Arabidopsis thaliana: one gene and its partner. The protein of the gene in region 1 interacts with the protein of each later gene in a pairwise test. Each region holds a gene or a part of one and is shown on either strand. Other genes may lie near its edges.

Region 1 (6,288 bases):
AAGGTTTGAACATGAATAACATTTCAACCTATGAAAGTTTAGAAATCATTTGATAAACTTTTATATTCATTATAGCAATTTAATTCTTGAAAATTGGTAATCTTAGATTCCTTTGACTAATCAAAAACTTGGTAATGTTGAGATATATATAAGTGATCAATCTAGTGAGGGGGTGGCCATACATAGGTGTATTAGTGCTTATGAGTTGGTAAGAAATATAGTCTCAAGAAATCTCTTCTTCTCTTCTTTAGTCTCCGCATGATTATTATCTCGACATAATCATGTAAAAGATTTATGATTTAATATAAAACTATTACATAGATGATTTGTTTTAATATATATTTTTTCTAAATATTCTAGATACCGGAACTTTCGAGAAAGAGATAATATCACAAAAAAACAGCAAATAGTAAGGTAAAATTTTCATTATTCTTATTTAAACATTTTTTTTAATAACATATGGATTCACCCAAATGTTATAATATCCATGGATATAGATATCCATATTATATAAGATTTATGAAAGTATATCTTTGTATTTAATTTTTTTTATATAAGTCACATAATATGAGAACAATATTTTCTAAAACTATACAAAATAGATTATATAAATCTTGAAAAAGACCATGTATTTTGATTTAAAGATTAAGATCTCTGGATGTTCATCTTCATATTTATTTTTGTATTATATATTTATATTGTAATTAGTTTTTGTTATTTATAATATCAACAAATTCAGATCCGGATAATTGTTTCTCGAGGTAATTCGAATCGGAACATCTCGAAATTTTAAAGTATCTAGTTCTGTGTCGACTTTATTGTATTATATCATTATTTACACACAGGAAATAAGTTCTAAGCATATGATATTTTCAGTAGCAAAACTTTTTCTTATATAAGCTATTAAATATTTTTTTTCATAAAATATACTTTCAGTTTTTAGAAAATTTATAATTGGTAAAAATTTATTTACAAAGAGCGGGAGCCAGGAAAAAAGAATTGTTATTATTTCAAGTGTAATTTTCTTAAACGTTGACATTTTTTTTGATTATATACTATACATTGATCAAAATACACACGTGCAAAATTTTAATCTAATCATTAATAAATTTGATCTTTTTTATTTTACCGTTACGTTTGAAATTATAATATAACGATGATTATTATTTTCTATATATCAAACCAAAAATAGCTATTTATACAATCCAAATCTTTTTCTTTTTTTAATCACACAAATCATTAACATTTGATGAAGTTGTTTCTTTTTCAATCTCCATCAAGATCATTAAAAATATCATTTTACAATAAAAAAAAATTAGGGGTTAAAACATAAATAAAACAGAAAGTATAGGGGACAAATAACACAAAAACACCACCACGTCCGCCACCAAAAGTTTTAACTTTCACACGAAGCTAGCCATGTCACTCTCTGCTCTTCTTGACCATTGACTTTTTTTAGAGATACAGAGATATGTCTTACTATTTAATTTCCTCATTTTGCAAAATGGTAAGAACGAAAAAGAATACCGTCATTGAGGGTAAAACCGTAAATATTAGGATACAAACGAGGGCAATTTAGGTATAAAAGAGGATGATAAATACGTGGTAATAGGTCACCACCACCAAGCTCTTCTTATGTTCATCCCAAAAAAGCTTTAATAAAAAAATAATCGTTTCTCTATGAAGAAGAAGACGACGACGGAAGAGGAAGACCTAGCATCGCCGACGATTTATTTTTGAATTTTCTTAGTCTAAGATATCTCCGGCGAGGAGACGTAGATTCATCGATCTAATATTCATCGATCTCGTTCTTGTGGCTTTTTAAATCGCCCAGACTTTTAAGAGACGCTGGATTTGATATCCGAGAAGAGCCGTTTGATAAATACGTAATCGATTCGAGCGGTGGATAGTGAAATTACGGCGGAGGAGTTGAATCGGATCTCGGTGGTGGTGTGTTTCTGTATTTGAGTGAGGAGGAAGGAGAAATATAAAAAGTAGGTGGAGACTCAGGTATATGAAAACCCTAAGTTCTTTGATTACTACTGCTCTTTGTTTATTGGTTCAATCAAGGAGAGATCTGTTTTGCTTATGGACGTCAATGGAAGATCCCTTAGGCTGCGATACGCTTCGAATATTCTTTTCGCCATGGAAGATCCCTTAGGTTTCTGCAATTTTCTTGGGAGATCTCTTAATCATGAGAACGATTTCTTTTTAACTCATCTTCCTCAGGAACTTAGTGGACATGAGTCTAGCCTTTACCCTTCTGATTTGGCTCATCTATATGATAGAATTAGGACACGATGATACTCTGATTTTGGGCAAGTTTAATGGATCTTGGCTTCACGCGGCCATTCAAGTTTTTCCAGAATCTTCGATTTGGCCAAGGGCAGTGATCTGAAGTCAGATTTAATCGGACTAGAAACATGAATAAATACTTGTTTTGTATGCTTTTAATGTCAAAACTCTGGAGGTTTTTTTCAGACTTATAGCGCAATCTGTCTTAAGGTAAAGGCTCATAGAGTCTTTAACTTGACTGTCTAGCTATGAAGTTTTTTTGCCTGCAGTGACTCTATTATTGTATACTAGAAGTAGGCAATAGCTCTTGCTTATGTTTTTTTTTTAATATGGTTTACTAATGAAAGGTTATTGCTTGCAGGTGAGGTAAGCGTTCATAAAACAAAAATCAAGTTTTGTGGGAGTGCATTGAAGCATGACAAGCAATAAAGGTGCTATCATCCCTCCAGAGCTTCCTTGGAAACCGGTGGCTAAAGGTAGCAGAAGTTCAACAAGGCGTGGCAAGAAACTAGTTAAACGAGTTGCAGCTTCAGATATTGAGTCAGAAGACAAGAGTTCAACACACACACTAGTAGCAGGAGAATCAAAGCGTCCAAAGGTTCCTCTTTTACTTTTTGTGCTTTCTTTCTTGATTTTGTTAGGAAATTTCTGGTCTCTTGATTTTAGTTTTTATTCTTTCTATTTATTGCAGCTTGGCGTTTCTGTTCTAGGTCAGCATTTCGTTGAAAGAGTAGAGCATGTTCCGATTAAGAAACGGATATTTGTGGTTAGCTCTCCATCACCATCACCATCATCATCAAAGAGGTCATCTGCTCAACGTGAAGGCTCAGAACATAAGGCACAGATCAACCATGTTTTACCTGTTTCGAGATTAAACCCTAATTTGGTCTCAGACGTCCGTGATGAAAAGCCTGATTACAGTGTTCATGACTTTTCTGGTATCAAGATACTTGCTGATGCTGCTTGCAGTACTGATGTGAGTAATGATTTTGCACCAGCTGTAGACCGTCTGCCTGCTGAAGAATTTGCTGTTCAGCTACAAGATACCTCAACCATATCAACTCATGTTGAAGGTAACGATTCATCAGCTGGAACTGCTGATGTCTCGCATACTGCGGTTGATTCCGGTGATCAGAGTGGCCAAGGAAAGAGCAATATTGTAGCGCCTCAGAAACATCCTCTAACAAATTTGTGCAATGAGTTGGCTGATGAGCAGAGTGTAGAGCACAGCAGAGTAACCTCTGGAGGGATTATAGCACCTAAAAAAACCTGCATTGCTCTTTCAAATGAATCCTCAACAGAAAGACCAAAGGATAATGTAGAAGCAAGTGAAAGTGAACCTTTAGCACCTGATAGTGGAGCTGTAACGGTGTCAGAGAAATTATCAGCCGATGAGCCAACTGAAAAAAACAATGAAGGCCTTAAAGATGTTAAATTTCTCTGGGATTTAAATATTCCTTGTGATGTAGAAGATGAAGCGTCTCGAAGAGATGAAGAGGGAGAAATCACAGAGTCTATTGCCCCTAAAGGGAGCGAACCTTTTGATGGAAGTAAACACAGTATGGATGGGGTAATTGCATCAGATGAACATACAAAATTTTCATCACCATCTAAGCCTAATGATGAAGCAGCTGCTACAAATGACAAGGATTGCCAATCTGGTTATGACTCCCAGTTTGAGGATGGAGAGTTGAGGGAACCATACCCTTGGGAAGAAAATGAAGAGGTTGAACAGTTGGATTACGGTTCTGAGCCAGAGGATGAGAGATTCTACTCTATGGGTTCTGAGAAGGGAATCTTGACAGATGAGAATTTCAGTCATGTTAAGTGTGAATCTGGTGATGCACTGAGAGTTGGGCAGGCTAATGAAGGAAGTGACATAGAGAAGCAAGCTGTTGTAAACATGAGCGATTCACATCCTAAGAAGGGCTCTTCTTCTCCTTCAAGGAGTTTTGGTTCAAAACCATACAAGGAGGTGCCTTCACATGATGCAATCCAGAGGAGAAGGCAAGTTTGCTTTCCCTGAGCCTTTTTTTTTGGTCAAACGCTTATTAATAATTTGTTAGTAACTGAGTCATGGTTCTTTATGATTCAGGCCTGATACTTATGAAGAGGTGAGCACGGGTCCAGATAGGTTTGCTCGGAGAGACGACAGGTCAGGGATGCGTATGCGTAATCGGAGTCCTCAAAGAGGGTATTTTAGTGGTTGGGATTCCAAACGACGCTTCTCCCCTCCTAATTACAAAGATGGTTCTTATGGTTCCGGGCGTCCATGGCATAAAAGAATGGCAGATGATCGAGGTATGATGAACGGCTTTGATGAGTCAGGGTCAGGACAAGGACCAGGACCAGAACCAGAACCAGAGGGTTATGTTCGTAGGCAATTCTCAAATGGTGGATACAGAGGTCGGTTTAAGAGATTCCCAGATGGTGGGGATCGTAAATTCAGGGGCCCATACACTGATACAAACCAATTTTCTGGTCGGATGCACAACCGGATGAGTGGTAATAGGAGAGAGAGAGGTGGCTCTCCGGTTGTCAGGAGATTGCACCACCCGCAATCAGAGTCAAGATCCAGAAGCCGTTCTCCAGTCTTGTGGAATGGCCGTAACAGATCACCTCCTCCTCCTCCAGGTGGGTTTAGAGCAGACGAGAGGATGACGGAAAGAGTGAGGCTGCCTTTCCAGAAACGGTTTCCTGCAGATCAGGAGATGGGTTATATGTCACCTCCGAGAAACAGAATGTCGTCGCCGAGGTTCTTTGAAGGGAGGAATAATGGTGCTGGAGAGAATTATAATAGCTTCAGAGAAAGGAAGTTCCGGCCTGGACAGAGATTTTATGTCGGAAATTCCATGAGAAGACCGAATTCTGACAACAACAACTTAAGACCATTTATTCCGAACAGAAGATTTGACAATCCGGAAGAGAGCACTGGTGGGAACAGGTTTGAGATGACTCAGCAGCGAAGGACTCGACGGTCTGAGACCACAGAAGATGGAGGTGATGTTATTCGACGGTTCAAGTTTAATGAAGAACAACAGTCAGTGGTGGTAGCCAACGACAACAACAACAAAGAGTCATGATAACAGATAACGTAAGAGACTTGTTTGGGTTCTTTCCAATAGAATCTCTCTTATGTTAGTTTAGATTTGTTTGTTATGTTTGTTATCCTAATTTTATTTTAGGAAGAGGTAAGAAAAATGCCATGGCGTCATCTGTTACGTTTATGACTGCTGGTATTTTTGTTTTCTTTTAAATTTTCTCATTTTCTTTCTACAGAGTTTTTAGGGTTTTCTAGGCTTAATTTGATGCTGTTTTCCTTTTCTGGAAATGATTTCTATATTTGTAGAAAATCAACAAAATGAAATCAATATCTTTTTTTCTTACCATATTTGTAGCTCAAATGAATTTTGTCAATAAAAAATGAGAAAAATAGCACCAATCTTGAGATGGTACAAGGACAAACTTATACGTACTTCCTACATTACTATATGGTTCTTAGCAGCTTTTAGATATTTTGTTGCTTTGGTTTTGGAGAGTAGAAAAGTATTTACGAAAAGAAAGGAAAAAGACTTGCGGCACTGTCTACACTGAGAAGAGGTCATAACCTGCAAGTAAGGCCCAAAATAATAGAAAGAGATAGTAATGAGCTACGTGGTATGAAACAAATTCATTCGAAGGTACAAAGCCTCAAAATAAAACACAGTAAGGAACCCTTTGGCAAATTAAGCCAACTTGAAATTTTGTGGGGTTTACAATATAAATCAATATATATATATATATATATATATATATATATATATATATATAGAGAGAGAGAGAGAGTGAGCACTGAGCAGAGTCAGGTCCATAGTTTAGTTATACTACCATCTTCACATGAACTTAAGAACTTTAACTCCAAATGCAATTCCTATGAAAGTTGCAATGGCGATCCCAAATATTCCGGCCAGAATCCCGGGAACTATCAACGAGTTCCATCCCTTTGCCGTCGCC
Region 2 (5,560 bases), on another chromosome or scaffold:
AGGATCCTTTGGATTTATCGGAGGCATAGGGATTTTGGCAGAGGCTTTGGCGCGAAAGGCGTAACGAAAAGTCTTCAAGTTTCTTCTCCCGGATGAATTCGAAGATAGAGGAGGATGAGGAGAAAAAGAAGAAGAGCGTGGAAGCAGAGAATTCATGGATGCTTGTAAACAAGACGCCATGGTCGAGGAGCTCTTGGACACGGAAGCTCGCGAAAATGGACTCGTTGGACAAAGGAAACCAGAGGATTTATCGATGCTTTCGGAGGGGAGAGAATAATTACTGGGTCGGGTTTCGGGTTGACCCGCTATTTGATATTCCGGCTATAGCCCAAATCACATTTTAGGGAACAGGCCCAGTCGCAATAGACTTTACTTTCGGACCAAATTGCAATTATTCTGGGCCATTTCGTTTACACAAAACTCTGGTGCTATGGCCTATGAGCTGTAGTGTGTTGTTACTGTTGGTAGGATACAGGCAGGGGTTGTACCGTTTTAGAGTGATCTTATCCAAAAACAAAAGCAAGTTTAGTTTTAACACTGCAAGTTTAGTTTAAGATAATCATAAAAGACACCAGTAGTTGTAATGTAAATGTATATGTATGGAAAAACCTCACCACACCCAACACAATGTCTGATGAACTTTATTATGCAGCCGAGACAGAGTTTCCGGCTTTTTAATGACACAATAACAGACCAATTCCAGGTTCACAACTAAAACTAGAAAGACATATTGGTCGTCCCATACAAGAAGACCAGTATAATAATCCCAAATCGGAATCAAATTCTATTAGCAGTGGAGCCTGAGAAGCTTGAGACGATTCGGGTACAGCCAGTGGCCAGTTTTCATTTTCAACCAGATATCACCTGCAAAACATAATATGTAATACCGTTAAGAGAAGAAGAAATGATAACACATGACAGAGGTAGATTATGTTGCTGAAACACTTGGAGAGGCGATTTTTAGTGCACACAGAGGTTGGTGAGACCTAGTCGTTCTAAGACTCTTCAAATTTTATAGTCTGTCTCATGATTTCGTTAAGTTGGTGTTGATTGAAGAACAACCAAAGTGAGCAGGTATTTAAACAAACACCATGGATTGTGAATTAAAGAAGGTTCAGCTTTTAGACTTACAGGTGAAACTGGAGAATTCGATCTTGATCTTGATCTTGATTTTGATCTTGATTGGGACCTGCAGCAAGACCAAAAACCCCATGTAAGTGTGGCATAACAAAGAAATTTACTGACCATCTCCCATCTAGTCCCGGGAGCTTAAATGCTGTCCTAGAAAAGAACTCAACACAGAATCCACTATTGTCAAAAAGATAAATATATTGAGGAATCAGAGTAATCATAGTCCAAAACTTTGCGATCAGATCCTACAGCTGATACGCGCGGAGTACCAGACCAGACCAGACCGTAAAAACAGAAGTTCAAGTTCATGCTAATCCAGCTTTGTAAATCCAGTCCAAGAATCCATCTAGATGACCCATCTAGATCCAATCCCCAGCTCGTAGCAGTGAGCCAGATCTAGAAAACAAACAACGCAATACAATTGTAATCACGGTAAATGATCGAGGACATGCCTCAGAAATCCATCTTCCCCCTTCCGATAGAAATAAATTTTCAAAAAGTGAAACATCTAGCTAAGTGTTCTTTAAATTATAAGTCGGATAATGAAGATTGATACGTAATAAATTCACCGTCGCTGGAAAAAAGTTAAGAAGTAAAGCTTTATCAGAAGGAAACATCCAGAAGAGAACGACACAAAGAGAAAGGAAAAGGACTAAATATGATGGGAGCATCTCTGTCAAGAACTCAAAACATAAAAAACAAACACATTCACGTGTAAGAAATGAAAAGGAACTCTGGTAATCCCAAACAAGGAGGTAACCTTTACCCATATTGGAGTTTGCATGACATAGAAAACATCAACAAAGGAAGAAAATCAAGTGACAATAGACTAGTCCACTATGAGGGAAAAAAGACTCAAACAAATTCAACTGTGTACGGAAGCAACAAAAGGTGCTTAGTTGTAAGTAATAAAGCTAGTAAGGAGTTCACTATGCAAGAACAAGTGATCCATGAAGGGGTAACTACATATATAATAATGATACAAATCTAACACTCATACCTTGAGACAGAGCTGTATAGCGAGCGAGAACGACTAAGGGGCCGTGAACGCGGGGAAATGGATCTAGCAGGTGACACACTGCATTGCATTTAGAAGTCAGTTAATTTCATAAATAAGTTACAATAAAAATCCCTTATATGTCTTAGGTTTATGAAAAAAAAAAAAAAAAAAAGACCTCCTGCTCTTGCTACTATAGCTACAGCTTGGACCACGGCTCCGACTCCTGCTTCTATAGCTTTTAGAATCATCTGGGCTTCGACTCACACTCCTCGACTCATATTCCCTCACCTGAACAGTAAATTCAGAGATGACTCCATATCCACTTATGCTTAACAAAATCAAAGAAAGCAATACAACATACCCGTATATAAGCACTAGAGAAAGCATTTCGAAATTCAGTGGCATCAAGTTTCCTTATCTGTCACATCAAAAATTTTAAGGGAACATCAAAGATCCAACACTGGCCTCCAGGAAGATAAATTCAGCTCGGTATACTATGAAACAAAAGCAGTCTAAGGCATAAGTCCAGGAACATTTGCGTTGCAAAGATATAAAACTTACTGCGTACTTCATATCATCATAGTTGCTATAATCCACAACCCCAGACATGCCTACAAAGAAATACTGAATGTGAGTTTAGCAGTTCAGATGCTTAACACCTATTCTCCTTCACAAAGACTAATTTACTAACACATCAATCAAAAGCTTATCCAAACTATCGAATGTCAACTCACCTTTACGGTCAGGGAAAACTTCAGAGAAGCAGACATCTCCAGCTTTGCGCATGTGATCCTAATCACCCGTAAATAGCAAATAACATCATTTCAGAAAAGAGATAAATCCAAAACATGATATAGAGAACCAACATTCAGAGAAAAAGACTATATAGTGTCCCTTACCTTAAGGTCCTGCCACGAAGCAGAAGGCGGTAATCCGGTCACAAGCACTACATGTTTAGGTAGTAAAAATGAGTTTTCAAATATAAAATTTTACACAACACCAAATAACACAATCGAGAAGACTCTACAAACCGCGGTAGTCAGAGCGTCTTGAAGGTGCACGGCTCGCACTGTAGCTGCTGCTGTACCTATCAACTGATGGTGAAAATCTACGACCACCATGTGCAATCTCAACCTAAAAACATCACACAAAGATAACACCTTTACAAGAAATTACAGAAAATTAAGCTAGCTTTCATCATGCGTTTACTAACCCGAAGTCGACACCCATCAAAATCATAACCATCACGTCCATAAATTGCATCGTCTGCATCACGAGGATCTTCAAACTGCCACCAATAACAAACTATCTTAGTCATTAGCCTATACTATTACAAGAAGAAGAAAAAAACAAATTTGTACTTGATCAATATACCTCGACAAAGGCATAACCAGGAGGTCTCGGTGGAATCTTCAAATCAATGTCCACAATTGGTCCATACTGAAACAAATATACATAAGAGTCGATTTAAATTGTCTCAGCAAGACAGAATTGCAAATTTATGAACCCAAACAAGTCATAATGAATTCAATTTTTATCGAGAGAAAAGAGGAATTTTCAAACCTTGTAGAAGAGATCTTCAACCTCACACTTGCGAATATCTCCAGGCAAATTCCCAACGTAGATCGTACGATTCCATCGGCTACTCATCTGATACCTCAGAGCAGAAAATTAGTTCCTGTAAAAATCTAGAAGAGAAGAAATTGATTACTGGAAAAATAATTTCGAGAAAGAAGAAGAAGAAGATGTTCGAGAAAGCGTTAGATTGTTCTGGAAAGGAGACAACCACCGTTCGTTTGGAAACTAGTATCCTTTTATAAAACGGAACTGGATTTTAATCCTGTGCGGCCGCATGTATCAACGATGAATAGCCCAGTTGATCAAGATCGGCCCATATGTTTTAATGGGCCTGTTAATATATTGTTCTAACCGGATCGAATGTGTTTTTTCTTATCATTCAAACCGGAATATTGTATGTTAGTTATTACAATTCGAACCAATTTCGAATCGGATTCGGACCATCGGGTCATTCATTCTCCTAGGTTTCCTAAACACTGTCGTTTTTGGACAAAAGAGACACTAGATCGGAAACACTTGGGGATTTTTTTGAGAGAAACATTCTCTCGGTTCCTCTACTACCACCTCTCAAATCTCAATTCGCCGATTAGTAACTCCGTCCAAGACCATTTTCCGCCGTGACACCGTCCACGGTCTCTCTCAGTCCGTGAGTTCCTGCTCTGTTCCGTTTGGTTTTTCTGTTTTGGAATTTCAGTATTTTTCCTATTGAATTTGTTGCGATATGATGTCCAAATTTTTGGTTTGTTGAGTGATGTTCCGATATTTCCGTTATCAATCATCTTCCACTGTTCGCTTGCAGGGAAGAAGATACCATAGTTAGAAGCTGGTGATCATTTTCAATAAACCTCGAACATGTTTAAGAAGTAAGCATCTTTGTCTCTTTCTAGATTCTTTCTCTACTTTTTTATTTAGATAGAAACTGTTTTTCATACCCGGATTGTAGAATCTAAGAATTAGTGGTTTCAACATCTCGGCATTGTTTATACTAGTTGATAAAGAATGTGATGGTCTCTTTATTTAGTATCCACTTACTCTAATAACTATCGAGAACTCACTCCCTTCTACTTGTTGTCGACCACATTGTTAATTTGATTGCTTAGAGTAGCCTTGGTATGGGCATATTGGTTGTTATATTTTCTTCAAAGTAGAAGGTTTTGAGTTCTCAAAAGCTAACATCTTGCTATTGTAAAGTTTTGGTTTCTATATTGATAGTGTCACTATTTGATTTATCAAATCTGTACAAAGAGTCGTGGGTCATAGAGGAAAGTTTGTGTCTTGATTTGACCAGTCTAAACTCTCTACTATCATGGAGTTTGTGTTTATCCATCTCCTGAAACATGCTTATACATTCATAGTGAATCTTGTATAAAGTTTATTTTTCCCTACTGCTATCAACTTTAGATCTATTTGATATACCATTATGTCTATGAAGGTGTTATTTATGTTCACTACTTTTTATTTAGGTTTTGTTTGGAGGAGATTTCATCACAAAACCAAGTGAAGGCATCTGTTCAACGTAGGATCCGCCAGAGTATCCAAGATGAGGTATGTCTGTTGTTTCATTTGTCTTTTTCCCCTTCTTAAACTTTTATGATTTCGTGAAGTTTGTCAGATATAAATATGTTTATGTTAATGTTGCAGTACCCGGGACTTGAATCAGTGATGGAGGATCTACTTCCCAAAAAGATTCCTCTTATCGTAGTGAAGTGGTCTGTAAATTAACAAACTCATATTCATTGTTTTGTTTTCTGAATTTTCTTTTACCCACTATCTATGTCTTACAGTATTCCTGACTATATTTCTCGTGCAGCCCAAACCATCTGACCCTAGTTGTTGTCAACAATGTCCCCC

Evidence for each region. Proteins that work in one complex are often made in the same cells at the same time.
Region 2: the proteins of AT5G52530 (region 1) and SR30 interact in a two-hybrid assay, tested with the Arabidopsis thaliana proteins (one large-scale study listed by BioGRID).

Annotation. Positions count from the first base shown.
Region 1 is NC_003076.8:21,315,505-21,321,792, forward strand, and holds AT5G52530 (dentin sialophosphoprotein-like protein), read left to right. Parts: upstream 1-1,625; 5' UTR 1,626-2,010; exon of another isoform or gene 2,011-2,505; intron 2,506-2,656; 5' UTR 2,657-2,710; coding exon 2,711-2,893; intron 2,894-2,986; coding exon 2,987-4,302; intron 4,303-4,390; coding exon 4,391-5,378; 3' UTR 5,379-5,763; downstream 5,764-6,288. Other genes in the region: AT5G52540 (keratin-associated protein, putative (DUF819)), read right to left, coding at 6,168-6,288.
Region 2 is NC_003070.9:2,942,038-2,947,597, forward strand, and holds SR30 (SERINE-ARGININE PROTEIN 30), read right to left. Parts: upstream 3,940-5,560; 5' UTR 3,782-3,939; coding exon 3,695-3,781; intron 3,572-3,694; coding exon 3,506-3,571; intron 3,420-3,505; coding exon 3,345-3,419; intron 3,266-3,344; coding exon 3,163-3,265; intron 3,078-3,162; coding exon 3,031-3,077; intron 2,924-3,030; coding exon 2,866-2,923; intron 2,743-2,865; coding exon 2,693-2,742; intron 2,550-2,692; coding exon 2,493-2,549; intron 2,420-2,492; coding exon 2,307-2,419; intron 2,210-2,306; coding exon 2,132-2,209; coding exon of another isoform or gene 2,119-2,131; exon of another isoform or gene 1,528-2,118; coding exon of another isoform or gene 1,491-1,527; exon of another isoform or gene 1,190-1,490; coding exon 1,132-1,189; intron 865-1,131; coding exon 850-864; 3' UTR 501-849; downstream 1-500. Other genes in the region: AT1G09130 (ATP-dependent caseinolytic (Clp) protease/crotonase family protein), read right to left, coding at 1-180; AT1G09150 (pseudouridine synthase and archaeosine transglycosylase (PUA) domain-containing protein), read left to right, coding at 4,562-4,572, 5,173-5,254, 5,351-5,418, 5,520-5,560. UniProt on the Arabidopsis thaliana protein: Regulatory splicing factor that modulates alternative splicing and gene expression in specific cell types. Autoregulates its own expression. Probably involved in intron recognition and spliceosome assembly.